Xenopus tropicalis: one gene and its partners. Each later gene encodes a partner of the first gene's protein in a complex. Links are inferred from orthologs where the notes say so. Each region holds a gene or a part of one and is shown in the gene's direction. Other genes may lie near its edges.

What was found.
Region 2: the proteins of calr (region 1) and gabarap are in contact, whole or in part, in a crystal structure (PDB 3DOW), measured with the Homo sapiens proteins. The link is inferred for Xenopus tropicalis from reciprocal best matches to the Homo sapiens genes CALR and GABARAP. Residues at the interface, in NP_004334.1 of Homo sapiens: Asp199, Trp200, Asp201, Phe202, Leu203, Pro204, Pro205; in NP_009209.1 of Homo sapiens: Glu17, Ile21, Tyr25, Arg28, Pro30, Val31, Ile32, Lys48, Tyr49, Leu50, Val51, Pro52, Leu55, Phe60, Leu63, Ile64, Arg67, Phe104.
Region 3: calr (region 1) and celf1 share a complex: the UniProt entries of both Homo sapiens proteins name them as parts of the EIF2 complex. The link is inferred for Xenopus tropicalis from reciprocal best matches to the Homo sapiens genes CALR and CELF1.

Annotation. Positions count from the first base shown.
Region 1 is NC_030679.2:139,717,790-139,722,757, reverse strand, and holds the start of calr (calreticulin precursor), read left to right. Parts: upstream 1-1,486; 5' UTR 1,487-1,520; coding exon 1,521-1,614; intron 1,615-4,276; coding exon 4,277-4,378; intron 4,379-4,491; coding exon 4,492-4,695; intron 4,696-4,968. UniProt on the Homo sapiens protein: Calcium-binding chaperone that promotes folding, oligomeric assembly and quality control in the endoplasmic reticulum (ER) via the calreticulin/calnexin cycle.
Region 2 is NC_030679.2:153,335,723-153,340,582, reverse strand, and holds the start of gabarap (GABA(A) receptor-associated protein like 1), read left to right. Parts: upstream 1-1,647; 5' UTR 1,648-1,747; coding exon 1,748-1,837; intron 1,838-4,860. UniProt on the Homo sapiens protein: Ubiquitin-like modifier that plays a role in intracellular transport of GABA(A) receptors and its interaction with the cytoskeleton.
Region 3 is NC_030680.2:16,143,614-16,148,625, forward strand, and holds the start of celf1 (CUGBP Elav-like family member 1), read left to right. Parts: upstream 1-1,799; 5' UTR 1,800-1,863; intron 1,864-5,012. UniProt on the Homo sapiens protein: RNA-binding protein implicated in the regulation of several post-transcriptional events. Involved in pre-mRNA alternative splicing, mRNA translation and stability.

The DNA of each region.
Region 1 (4,968 bases):
CAAATAAACACTGTAGCAACCCATTGTTCCGAGAGCCGGATGCCTTACCCATTGTGTGCCACGGTATATGGCAATGCGTCCACACCCCCTCACCTGGTAGCCAGACATAGACTACTTGTACTTTTATTTAAGAGTTAAATATAAAATTAAAGGGCCAGTATCCCCAGGAAATAGAAATAGTTACATAGTTACAATGACCCAAAAAGAAAATAAACATACAGTTCATGTAGTCTGAAGGCTGATCTGATGGCTTCTTCCCCAGGGTCAGTGATCAGAAATGACTGCAGTGATTGGGAAACAACTTAGGGGAGAATTCTTGAGGGCACTGAGCACACCACAATCGCCTTTTTAGACAGGATGGGGGGTTGGGCTTTGTTTAGTCAACAAAAAGATGCCAAACACAGCACTGCTGGTAGCAAATAAACTGCCATGAAAACACATTTTAGGAGTTTGCCTGGTTGCAAGGGTACACTGGAGCTTAGCAACCGGAGAGCTGCTGGATTAACAAAAGTGGAGAGCTCCTGAACAAAGAGCTAAAGTACCAAAAGGAATATCACTATCACTTTAATGTAAAGGGGAACTAGCCCTGTAACAGTAATGTTGGATATTGCTTGCAGGAGGGGTCAGGTAAGTGTATGTGTGTATGGGGAGTTAAGGCAATGCCTGGCTGACAATCTGTTTACATTGGGTCCAAAGTTTATTGCTTAGAATTTGGGCAATTCAGGTTGGGACAGTACAAGGCTGGGCATAGGGGGAATTAGAGAAAGGAGCTGAGCCAGGGGAAAGATGGGGGCCACATATTGTTATCTCCCCCACCCAAACATATACAAAATCGCACCGACTCTGATTGAATATCTTAGCTACAGTTGGGCAATGGGAACATTGGCACTCACACTGCATAGGTGCCTTGGTCTGACCACTCATTCAACCCAAACATCTCTGCCCCCTTTGCAGACTGAATATCCCATGGTGCAGTCAGAACCCTGACCCTGCCAGCAATTGTGTGGGGGCAGTTAGGGGCAAAGTCCCCCAGTTGTAGTAGTACTTACAGCCAAGCAATACAAAGGCATTCAATAATAAACAAAAAATCAAAGAGCCGTCCCATTAATACAGAGCGCTCCTACTAATTCATGAAGGAATGCAACAAAAATGAAAATACTACCGGTTAATTATTTAGTGCAACCTAACCGGAGATCACGTGATCCAGCAGACCACGTGTTCCAGCCCTCATACCCCCGTCTCTATAGGAGACGTCCAACCATCTTACGACTAGTAGGAGGCCCCTGCGTGGTGCACGGTCATTGGTCATCGCCCGGACCAATCAAAAGCAGCCATCTGTGTTCCCTGAATGGCAGTGCGGCCGGCCCAACCAGAAACGGACACCGGTGCGGCCGCAGCCAATGGAGTGACAGGCGGAGGGAGGGAGCGGCGTAGCTATATATAAGCGGCTGTCGCTGGTTGCGAGGTGCTTAGTGGTTCCTGGACGCTGTGCTTGACAGGTCTTTTGAAGGGGCATCACCATGGCCCGCGTTGCCTTCCTCATCCTGCCGCTGCTTGCGGCTCTGTGCATCGCAGATCCTGCTGTTTACTTAAAGGAAGAGTTCGCTGATGGAGGTATGGAACGACTTCATGGCATTAGAGCTTGAAGGCAGGGACAGTAAAATACGGCTGGGTTTAACTGCAGCTCCCGGCATGCTCAGCTAGAGAGAACGCATTCTTTTGCCTTTCCCTTAATACAAGTGCCCATTGATGCACGGATAGATAGCACTGAGGGGCTGGGTATGTGACTGAGGCGCTGTAGCTCCTATGTAGTGATAATGCCTGCCCCCTGTTATACAAATACAGCCCCCCTCATTGGCCAGTAATGCCTTTACATTGGCTCAGGCCACCTTGCTGTCCCACTCTTCCTCATGTATTATGTAGCTGCACTACAACTCCCAGAAGCCTCTCCTGGCCAGTAATGCCTTTACATTGGCTCAGGCCAGATGGCTGTCCCATTCTTGCTCATGTATTATGTAGCTGCACTACAACTCCCAGAAGCCTCTCCTGGCCAGTAATGCCTTTACATTGGCTCAGGCCAGATGGCTGTCCCATTCTTGCTCATGTATTATGTAGCTGCACTACAACTCCCAGAAGCCTCTCCTGGCTAGTAATGCCTTTACATTGGCTCAGGCCAGATGGCTGTCCCATTCTTGCTCATGTATTATGTAGCTGCACTACAACTCCCAGAAGCCTCTCCTGGCCAGTAATGCCTTTAGATTGACTCAGGCCAGCTGGCTGTCCCACACTTGCTCATGTATTATGTAGCTGCACTACAACTCCCAGAAGCCTCTCCTGGCCAGTAATGCCTTTACATTGGCTCAGGCCAGCTGGCTGTCCCATTCTTGCTCACGTATTATGTAGCTGCACTACAGCTCCCAGAAGCCTCTCCTGGCCAGGGGCTTTAGCTACTAAAGGGTGTAACAGATCCCTATATAGTGTTGGCAGTGGAACTGCTGCTATTCAGACTTCACCATGATCCAGATAATATAAATATATATATATATATATATTTATTTTGTTATTATTATTGCTATATTATGTGCATTAAGCTGGATTACATAGTTATACATGGGCTGGGCACCTTTTTGGCTTTAGGTAGGGCTAGTAGGGGGGATGCTGGGAAGTGTAGTTCAATAGAGGGGATGCTGGGAAGTGTAGTTCAGTAGGGGGGGATGCTGGGAAGTGTAGTTCAGTAGGGGGGGATGCTGGGAAGTGTAGTTCAGTAGGGGGGATGCTGGGAAGTGTAGTTCAGTAGGGGGGGATGCTGGGAAGTGTAGTTCAGTAGGGGGGGATGCTGGGAAGTGTAGTTCAGTAGGGGGGGATGCTGGGAAGTGTAGTTCAGTAGGGGGGGATGCTGGGAAGTGTAGTTCAGTAGGGGGGGATGCTGGGAAGTGTAGTTCAGTAGGGGGGGATGCTGGGAAGTGTAGTTCAGTAGGGGGGATGCTGGGAAGTGTAGTTCAGTAGGGGGGGATGCTGGGAAGTGTAGTTCAGTAGGGGGGATGCTGGGAAGTGTAGTTCAGTAGGGGGGGATGCTGGGAAGTGTAGTTCAGTAGGGGGGGATGCTGGGAAGTGTAGTTCAGTAGGGGGGGGGGATGCTGGGAAGTGTAGTTCAGTAGGGGGGGGGGGATGCTGCATGTTGCAGATCCTCCTCATTGAATAAATCCCAATTGTGTTCTGTTTGTAACCTTGGCTGTGTCCCCTGCAAACAAATCTAGTGGATCCCCTGCCATCTGTACAAATATTTGTGGGGCAGAACAGCTGGCCGAGGGGGCGTGGCCCTGCGCTGACACCCGGGTCTGAGTTGTGGGTGTGGGTGCTTTGTGTAATGCAGTAAGGCTCATACAAGCTGGGCCCGTCACGTCGGCCTTCCCATACATGGAAGCTGCCGGAACATGGTGGTGTATAGTATTCTGCCCCAATCCTTCCCATGTATTTGCATCATTAAAGCCGGCCCTGCAGCCCAGAGAGTGCCTGCTGAACCTTCTGGAAGCAGCGGGGAGGCGGAGCTGGGGTTAATGGCCGGCTCTAGCCCCTCCTACCATCTATACATAAGGAAAGGGAAAGTGGAGGGGGGAGGTGATGGGGAATGCTGCAGTATAAGGGATCCTTACCTGAGCCTGGTTAGAATGATAGTATTGTGTGTATTTATTGCTTGTAATGCTCCGGTGCCTGCTGTGGGGGGGGATAGAGTGGCCATTGTGTCTGGGACTATGTGACTAGGCATCGGCTTGCATTACAGCTGCACAAGATGTGGGAGATGCCATGTTTGCTAGGCAGAGATCCATTCCCCCACCTATGGGGAGTGCCCCTGCTGAATATGGTAGCACCCAATTGTAACTGGGGTTATGGGAATATTTATTGTATGTAATTGTAGCTTCTAGTTTCTGTTCTAGTTTGATCTGCCCCGTGCCTAGGTATGTAGGGTGCCCCCCCGTGCCTAGGTATGTAGGGTGCCCCCAATGTATGTATATAGGGTGCCCCTGCATTAGCAGAGTAGGGTGTCTCTCTGCCCACTGAGGATGGGGTTTTCCCATTGCCCATATAGTGAATGCATTAGCAGTGCATGGGCTGCCGCCGGTTGTGCCTCTCTATGCGTCTATGGAAAGAGGGCATGGTACTAACTGGCACAGATAGTTGGGCATCCTTCTGCTCGGGTATGTAGGGTGGCACATTGAAGTAGCCCAGTAAGCCATTCTAAGAATCAACTTTAACCTGTCGTGTTCTTCTCTATCAGATGGGTGGTCGCAGCGCTGGGTAGAATCCAAGCACAAATCTGACTATGGAAAGTTCAAGCTAAGCGCCGGGAAGTTCTACGGAGACGCAGAGAAGGACAAAGGTGAGTGCCCTCTGCTGGTGGGGTGGCTGTTATATCCCTCACTTTACTTCTGTAGATGGGGGTTTGTGTAAATGCTTTGAGTTAAACTCTACATCTATCTCCCTCGTGCCCAGGTCTCCAGACAAGCCAGGATGCCCGCTTCTACGCCCTGTCTACCCGCTTTGATTCCTTCTCCAACAAAGATAAGACCCTTGTCATCCAGTTTTCCGTAAAGCACGAGCAGAACATAGACTGCGGCGGCGGATACGTGAAGCTTTTCCCTGCGGAGCTGGAGCAGTCCGAAATGCACGGCGAATCAGAGTACAACATCATGTTCGGTAGGTATGCGCCACTGTGTGCGCTTGTGCTAAACTAGGCACCAGATTGGGCACATTTAGGCACGAACCTTAAGCAGCAGCCAAAGGGAAGCCCACTTTTAACTATTGACATTGCACCTCCTATGAAGCCTATTGCTGCTGCCCCTAAGCGTCTCTGGATGGCACAAGAGCTTACATATTGCTGGCGTCCAGCAGCCAAAAGTTGCTCTTGCTCTGCAGTTTATAGCCAATACCTATGGGGGGGTTTACACAGTTTTAAGGGTAATTCATGTG
Region 2 (4,860 bases), about 14 Mb from region 1:
CACACACACACTCACTCTCACACACACTCACTCTCTCACACACACACTCACTCTCACACACACACTCACTCTCACACACACACTCACTCTCACAAACACACACACTCACTCTCACAAACACACACACTCACTCTCACCCTCACTCTCACACACACACTCACTCTCACACACACACTCACTCTCACACACTCACCCTCACTCTCACACACACACTCACTCTCACCCTCACTCTCACACACACACTCACTCTCACCCTCACTCTCACACACACTCACTCTCACCCTCACACACACACTCACTCTCACCCTCACTCTCACACACACACTCACTCTCACCCTCACTCTCACACACACACTCACTCTCACACTCACTCTCACATACACACACACACTCACACTCACTCTCACATACACACACACTCACTCTCACCCTCACTCTCACATACACACTCACTCTCACAAACACACACACTCACTCTCACCCTCACTCTCACACACACACTCACTCTCACCCTCACTCTCACACACACACACTCACTCTCACACACACACTCACTCTCACACACTCACTCTCACCCTCACTCTCTCACTCACACTCACTCTCACACTCACACTCTCACTCACACTCACTCTCTCTCACACTCACTCTCTCACTCACACTCTCTCACTCACGCTCTCTCACTCACACTCACACTCTCACACTCACGCTCTCTCACTCACACTCACACTCTCACACTCACTCTCACACTCACTCTCTCTCTCACACTCACTCTCACACTCACACACACACTCACTCTCACACTCTCTCACTCACACTCACGCTCTCTCACTCACACTCACACTCACTCTCACACTCTCACTAACACTCACTCTCTCTCTCTCTCTCTCTCACACACTCTCTCACTCACACTCACGCTCTCTCACTCACACTCACTCTCACACTCACTCTCTCTCTCACACTCACACTCACTCTCACACTCACACTCACACTCACTCTCACACTCACTCTCTCTCTCACACTCACTCTCACACTCACACTCACTCTCACACTCACTCTCACTCTCACACTCACACTCACTCTCACTCTCACACTCACACTCACTCTCACACTCACTCTCTCTCTCACTCTCACACTCACTCTCACTCTCACACTCACTCTCACACTCACTCTCACACTCACTCTCTCTCTCACACTCACTCTCACTCTCACTCTCACTCTCACTCTCACACTCACTCTCACACTCACACTCACTCTCTCTCTCACACTCACTCTCACACTCACTCTCACTCTCACACTCACACTCACACTCACTCTCACACTCACTCTCACACTCACTCTCACACTCACTCTCTCTCTCACACTCACTCTCACACTCACTCTCACTCTCACACTCACTCTCACACTCACTCTCACACTCACACACACACACTCCCACTCACGCTCTCTCACTCACACTCTCACACTCACTCTCACACTCACTTCTCTCTCACACAAACAGAATGAAACAGACTGAAAGGTTTCCGTTCCAATCGCACAAGTGAGTGAAGGGGCGGGAGGGGCGGTTGCTATGGTTACAGAGCTCCGGGCCCGATATGACGCAGCGGCTGACGTTGGGAAGGCGGAGCCACGATGCGGAAGTGGGGGGCGGGGCTCGGCCTGTTTATTTCCTGTCAGTGTCAGTCCTGAAAACAACAGGAACCGAAACTCCAATCGCAGTCTCGAACCGGTACCGCCCGGAGAGTCCGCCATGAAGTTCGTGTATAAAGAGGAACATCCCTTCGAGAAGCGCCGCTCCGAGGGGGAGAAAATCCGCAAGAAATACCCCGACCGAGTCCCGGTGTGTGACATACTGCCCCCGGGGCAACTACTGGGGCAGGAACCTTCCTCTGGGGCAGGAACCTTCCTCTGGGGCAGGAACATGGGGAGAGACTGGGGGTATAACATGGGGAGAGAGAGAGACTGGGGGTATAACATGGGGAGAGAGAGAGACTGGGGGTATAACATGGGGAGAGAGAGAGACTGGGGGTATAACATGGGAGAGACTGGGGGTATAACATGGGGGGAGAGAGAGACTGGGGTATAACATGGGGAGAGAGAGAGAGACTGGGGTATAACATGGGGAGAGACTGGGGGTATAACATGGGGAGAGAGAGACTGGGGGTATAACATTGGGGAGAGAGAGACTGGGGGTAATAACATGGGGAGAGAGAGACTGGGGGTAATAACATGGGGAGAGAGAGACTGGGGGTATAACATGGGGAGAGAGAGAGACTGGGGGTATAACGTGGGGAGAGACTGGGGGGTAAACATGGGGAGAGACTGGGGGTATAACATGGGGAGAGAGAGACTGGGCGGGTTATAACATGGGGAGAGAGAGACTGGGGGTATAACATGAGAGAGAGAGACTGGGGGTATAACATGGGGAGAGACTGGGGGTATAACATGGGGAGAGAGAGACTGGGGGTATAACATGGGGAGAGAGAGAGACTGGGGGTAACATGGGGAGAGACTGGGGTATAACATGGGAGAGAGAGAGAGACTGGGGTATAACGTGGGGAGAGAGAGAGACTGGGGGTATAACATGGGGAGAGAGAGAGACTGGGTATAACATGGGGAGAGAGAGAGAGACTGGGGTATAACGTGGGGAGAGAGAGAGACTGGGGTATAACGTGGGGAGAGAGAGAGACTGGGGGTATACATGGGGAGAGAGAGACTGGGGGTATAACATGGGGAGAGAGAGAGACTGGGGGTATAACATGGGGAGAGAGAGAGACTGGGGGTATATACGTGGGGAGAGAGAAGACTGGGGGTATAACATGGGGAGAGAGAGAGACTGGGGTATAACATGGGGAGAGAGAGAGACTGGGGGTATAACATGGGGAGAGAGAGACTTGGGGGTATAACATGGGGAGAGAGAGAGACTGGGGGTATAACATGGGGAGAGAGAGAGACTGGGGGTATAACATGGGGAGAGAGAGAGACTGGGGTATAACATGGGGAGTGACTGGGGTTACATGGGGAGTGACTGGGGGTATAACATGGGGAGTGACTGGGGGTTATACATGGGGAGAGAGAGAGACTGGGGGTATAACATGGGGAGAGAGAGAGACTGGGGGTATAACATGGGGAGAGACTGGGGTATAACATGGGGAGTGACTGGGGGTATAACATGGGGAGAGAGAGAGACTGGGGGTATAACATGGGAAGAGAGAGACTGGGGGTATAACATGGGGGAAGAGAGAGACTGGGGTATAACATGGGGAGAGAGAGAGACTGGGGGTATAACATGGGGAAGAGAGAGACTGGGGTAGACTGGGGGTATAACATGGGGAGAGAGAGAGACTGGGGGTATAACATGGGGAGAGAGAGAGACTGGGGGTATAACATGGGGAGAGAGAGAGACTGGGGGTATAACATGGGGAGAGAGAGAGACTGGGGGTATAACATGGGGAGAGAGAGAGACTGGGGGTATAACATGGGGAGAGAGAGAGACTGGGGTATAACATGGGGAGAGAGAGAGACTGGGGGTATAACATGGGGAGAGAGAGAGACTGGGGGTATAAACATGGGGAGTGACTGGGGGTATAACATGGGGAGTGACTGGGGGTATAACATGGGGAGAGAGAGAGACTGGGGGTATAACATGGGGAGAGACTGGGGGTATAACATGGGGAGTGACTGGGGTATAACATGGGGAGAGAGAGAGACTGGGGGTATAACATGGGGAGAGGAGAGAGACTGGGGGTATAACATGGGGAGAGAGAGAGACTGGGGGTATAACATGGGAGAGAGAGAGACTGGGGTTATACATGGGGAGAGAGAGAGACTGGGGGTATAACATGGGGAGAGAGAGACTGGGGGTTTAACATGGGGGAGAGAGAGACTGGGGGTATAACATGGGGAGAGAGAGAGACTGGGGGTATAACATGGGGAGAGACTGGGGTATAACATGGGGAGAGAGAGAGACTGGGGGTATAACATGGGAGTGACTGGGGGTATAACATGGGGAGAGAGATGGGGGGTATAACATGGGGAGTGACTGGGTATAACATGGGGAGTGACTGGGGGTATAACATGGGGAGAGAGAGGACTGGGGGTATAACATGGGAGAGAGAGAGACTGGGGGTATAACATGGGGAGAGAGAGACTGGGGGTATAACATGGGGAGAGAGAGAGACTGGGGGTATAACATGGGGAGAGAGAGAGACTGGGGGTATAACATGGGGAGAGAGAGAGACTGGGGGTATACATGGGAAGGAGAGAGACTGGGGGTTTTAAACATGGGAGAGAGAGAGACCTGGGGGTATAACATGGGAGAGAGAGAGACTGGGGGTATAACTCGGGAGAGAGAGACTGGGGGTAAATAACATGGGGAGAGACTGGGGTATAACAAGGGGAGAGACTGGGGGGTATAACATGGGGAGAGGAGGACTGGGGTATAACATGGGGAGAGAGAGAGACTGGGGGTATAACCATGGGGAGAAGAGAGACTGGGGGATAACATCGGGGAGAGACTGGGGTAATAACATGGGCAGACTGGGGTATAACAATGGAGAGAGAGAGACTGGGGGTATAAATGGGGAAAGAGAAGGACTGGGGTATAACATGGGGAGAGAGAGAGCTGGGTATAACATGGGGAGAGGAGAGACCTGGGGGGTATATACATGGGGAGAGAGAGACTGGGGGTATAACATGGGAGAGACTGGGGGTAAATAACATGGGGAGAGGACTGGGGGTATAACAATGGGAGAAGAGAGAGAGACTGGTATAACATGGGGAGAGAGAGAGAGACTGGGGGTATACCATGGGGAGAGAGAAGAGAGACTGGGGGGTATTAACAGGGGAAGAGACTGGGGGTAT
Region 3 (5,012 bases), on another chromosome or scaffold:
CAATGAGAGCCATTATCCACAAATGGCAAAACATGGAACAGTGGTGAACCTTCCCAGGAGTGGCCGGCCGACCAAAATTACCCCAAGAGCGCAGAGACAACTCATCCGAGAGGCCACAAAAGACCCCAGGACAACATCTAAAGAACTGCAGGCCTCACTTGCCTCAATTAAGGTCAGTGTTCACGACTCCACCATAAGAAAGAGACTGGGCAAAAACGGCCTGCATGGCAGATTTCCAAGGCGCAAACCACTTTTAAGCAAAAAGAACATTATGGCTCGTCTCAATTTTGCTAAAAAACATCTCAATGATTGCCAAGACTTTTGGGAAAATATCTTGTGAACCGACGAGACAAAAGTTGAACTTTTTGGAAGGTGCGTGTCCCGTTACATCTGGCGTAAAAGTAACACAGCATTTCAGAAAAAGAACATCATACCAACAGTAAAATATGGTGGTGGTAGTGTGATGGTCTGGGGTTGTTTTGCTGCTTCAGGACCTGGAAGGCTTGCTGTGATAGATGCAACCATGAAGTCTACTGTCTACCAAAAAATCCTGAAGGAGAATGTCCGGCCATCTGTTCGTCAACTCAAGCTGAAGCGATCTTGGGCGCTGCAGCAGGACAATGACCCAAAACAAACCAGCAAATCCACCTCTGAATGGCTGAAGAAAAACAAAATGAAGACTTTGGAGTGGCCTAGTCAAAGTCCTGACCTGAATCCTATTGAGATGTTGTGGCATGACCTTAAAAAGGCGGTTCATGCTAGAAAACCCTCAAATAAAGCTGAATTACAACAATTCTGCAAAGATGAGTGGGCCAAAATTCCTCCAGAGCGCTGTAAAAGACTCGTTGCAAGTTATGGCAAACGCTTGATTGCAGTTATTGCTGCTAAGGGTGGCCCAACCAGTTATTAGGTTCAGGGGGCAATTACTTTTTCACACAGGGCCATGTAGGTTTGGATTTTTTTACTCCCTAAATAATAAAAACCCTCATTTAAAAACTGCATTTTGTGTTTACTTGTGTTATCTTTGACTAATAGTTAAATGTGTTTGATGATCAGAAACATTTTGTGTGACAAACATGCAAAAGAATAAGAAATCAGGAAGGGGGCAAATAGTTTTTCACACCACTGTATATATATATATATATATAAAAAAAAAAAAATATATATATATATATATATAAATGTATATTTTATATATATATATATATATATATATATATATATATATATATATATATATATATATATATATATATATATAAATGTAGCAGGTTATATAGGTTACTGAAAAAAATATATATAGATATATCAACTGTATGTGGGTTAATTGGAAAACATATATATATATATATATATATTATATTATATATAAATATATATATGTTTTCCAATTAACCCACATACAGTTGATATATCTATAACTAAACATAGATTATGTAACTTGTATGTTATTGCACATGAGTTCCCCCAGCACAACAAGCTCTGACAGATGACAAGTAACTCCCGGCCAGTGGTGCCATGAAGCTCCAGTCCAGGTATTACTCCGCGCTTCTCTCTCCCCCATTGCCGAATGATGATTCCAAGTGTCGCGCAAAGGCCGGACTGGATCGCGTTGTGACCAATCCCCCGGCGGCGGCCAATCTTCCCTGACAAGCTGTGCCTCCCGCCTGCCCGCACACGCCGCAGCACAGGCCCATTATTGGTCGCTTCCCCCCCACCCCCCCCCATGTAGGCCGACTTGGTGGATCCGCCCGGAAGTGCCGCCATTTTGGATCCTCTGCGCACAGGGAGAGTGAGAGCGGAGCGTGACCCGGGGGACGGCGAGCGGGAAACGGGAGCTGAGGGCGGCTCTCCCCCCACCCGGTAAGGGCTTGCAGGGAGGCGGGATCTCTTAGTCCGGGTTCATGGACAGGGGTTTCTGTCACCTCATTCTCGAAGGAGTTGTTGCTGGGTAACGGGATCTCCGCCCCACCCCGCTCCTCCTGAGTAACGGGATGTAAGGGCCGGGCGCGGAAACTAGCTGTACTGTACTGTGCTACTGCTGCCCATTACCCTGTCCCTCCTGCCTCAGTATCCCATAGGGGCTGCAGCCGGGCTACACGCACCGGGATCCCCTGAGGCGCTGCATGAGGTGCCTGTGCATTGCCCCTGTACTTGTTACCCCCCCAGCTGCCTGATTGCATCCCAGATACCCCAGGCCTGGGCACCCTGCAGCCCTCCAGCTGCTGCTAAACGTATAGGGTGTTCCCCCCTGCTGCATGGTCTCTCCCTGCTACTTTGTTTCAGGAGTCTGAACCAACAGTGCACCAACAGGTGGCTTGTGTTTGCCCCACACTAACCCCTTCCCATGGGAATAGGGACTTGCCCTCTGGCCTGGGAGCTCCAGCATGTGGCTTTACTCCACGGACAGTGATTGCTGCATGTTTTTTTGGATTCCTAGAAACCTCCATGTAAGCCTTCACCTCATTGGCCCAGGCATTAAGGGGTATCTCAATAGCCACTGTTTGTATGTCTAACACTTTCAAGGGGATCATGCCCCCACTAAAGGAGTGCCTTTGGCAGTGCCAGCAGGGTTGGTAGGGAATGCCCAGGCTGTGCAATAGATTCCCAGTGCTGAGGCTCAGGGTGACTTTAGCTTCCAGACAGGCCTCACGCTAGAGCTGGGCAGTATGACCAAAAATTTATATCACGGTATTTTTCAAAATTATATCGGTGTCGCGGTATTTGACGGTATTTTTTTTTTTCCATGCATGATTAGGTGTTAACCCCATTTCCTAATAAATTAGAGAATAATTACTACTGTATTGAAAATCAGAGTCAGGCAAGCGAAGGATCGGCAACAGAAAGTCGTAAGGCAGGCTTAGTTTCCCAGGCAAGGCTGCAGACAACATAGCACAGGAGGAGGCGTTTGATAGCTTTAAATACCCCCCCACGCATGCGCAGAACCGGCGCCACGTCACAGACGTGCACGCTTTGACATGTACGTGCGCTTTGACGCTCCTATGCAATGTCCCGTGGACAACGGGACATGCGCGAGATGGGTGAGTACCCTGACACCCCGGTATTGCGGTATCTGAAAAATGAATATAGTTTTAAAAAGAAACACCGGTATTCGGTATTAAACGGTATATCACCCAGCCCTATTTCATGCTTATTTTTATTCCATAGCAACCATCCTGCCTGCCCCTGTGTAATTGTATGTCCGTTCCCTGGTTGCCAGACATCTCCAGTTCCTGGCCCCATCAGAGGTTCCGAGCTTTGGCCAGGGCCACTTTATGTTATAACCTGTAGAAGCCATAGTTCCAGGTATATGGGGAAAGGTTTTCAACCCAAATCTCACCCTAATTGACCTTCAGGTGTATATTGGAGAGCAAATAGGCATTCACCCCAAAATGTTTGCCTTAGCAGTGATACCCGCGGCACCACTGGGACACGTTGGTGACCTACTTTCCCTGTTGAGTCTGGGGAGGCACTGTGGGGCCTCACATGCACTGTTGGTTCCGCTGGGTGCCTGACCGTGTGTATATTGTATGTGACGACTCCTTCATGCGTGTGACAGGCCCTAATGGGAGGCCGTGCAATCTTCATTCTGCATGGTTGCTTACATGTGTCTGTTTTTTAATTAGTAATGGTAACATTGGCAGTGCCTAGCAGCACGTGGCCGCAGAGGTGAATGGGGATTGGACTGCATGGTGTGCATGGGTAACTGCCAGTGCACTGCATGGGATGTGCCGGGAACCTAAGTATGCTGTGTACTTCAGGCTTAACCATTATAACCTGTGCAGTTTATTTTCCAGCTCTGCTGAGCGGAGCATAGGGAATATAAAGTGCCCAGCTTTCCAGATCCCATCGCTTGCAACTCCCTGCTGTTCCCTAGCAAAGAATTCTGGGAGCTACGTGACATTCTTTCCTCGGTGCCTTTTGTCTTGTTTAATCTTATTGTATTTCTCTTATCTATTATATCAGGCTTTACTCCTGTCTCACCCCCCCCCCCCCCCCCCCAGCAACAAGCCCCATACTCTTTCCTATGTAAGCCTGGAAAGTGCTTCTCCTTCCTTACATAATCCGCATGTCATTGGTTCCTATGCCCCCTACCTCCAGAGTAATTACACTTACACAATTAGGTCTTTCTGCCCCACAATCAACTGATACCGGCTTAGGAATTCTTTCCTTTAATACCCTTAATTTTCTTGTATCATTTGGTTTTTGCCTTCTCTTAGGTTAGATAGAATTAAACTGCCCGTATATGCATGGTGGGCTGACAATCCCAACTGATATTCATGTATTGTGTATATTGGTTGGTTCACCGATTGGGCAATATATTGGCTGGGTGTTTGAGTGAGTCTGCTTATTAGCCCTGGTACTTCAGTACTGATGCCCCCTGCTGGCTACGCCACAGAGCTGTGGATTTTGTAGTTTGGCTGTACCAGCTGGGTTTATGGGCTAGTGTCGTGGCTATCACTCGTGTAAGCATATTACTTAATTGGGGACAGTTTGTCAGTCAGTTTGCTAGTAGTTTCTTTTGATAGTCCAGCCCAGTGATCCCCAACCAATGACTCAGGGCAACATGTTGCTCACCAACCCCTTGGATATTGCTCTCAGTGCCCCCAAACCAGGTAGTTATTTTTGAATTCCTGACTTGGGGGCAAGTTTTGGTTGAATAAAAACAAGATTTCCTACCAAATAAAGCCCACTGTAAGCTTATAGTGTGCATAGAGGCTGCCTAATAGCCAATCTTAGCCCTTATTTGGCACCTCCATGAACTTTTCTGATGCTTGTGCTGCTCCCCAAGTGTTTTTACATTTGACATATGGAAACTAAAATAGTGCCCATCCCAAGGAACTGTTGGCAAATTGCTCAGAGTTGGTGGTGCTTATATAGAAGATACATTAGGCCGGTGTGTTTTTCAGAGGAATTGTAGCCTAGGGTCCAGGGATATTTTCCTTGGGGGGTGCCACCCCACCTAGTGAACAAATTTCCTGGCTTGCAATCGCATCTGCTGTTGTTTTTGG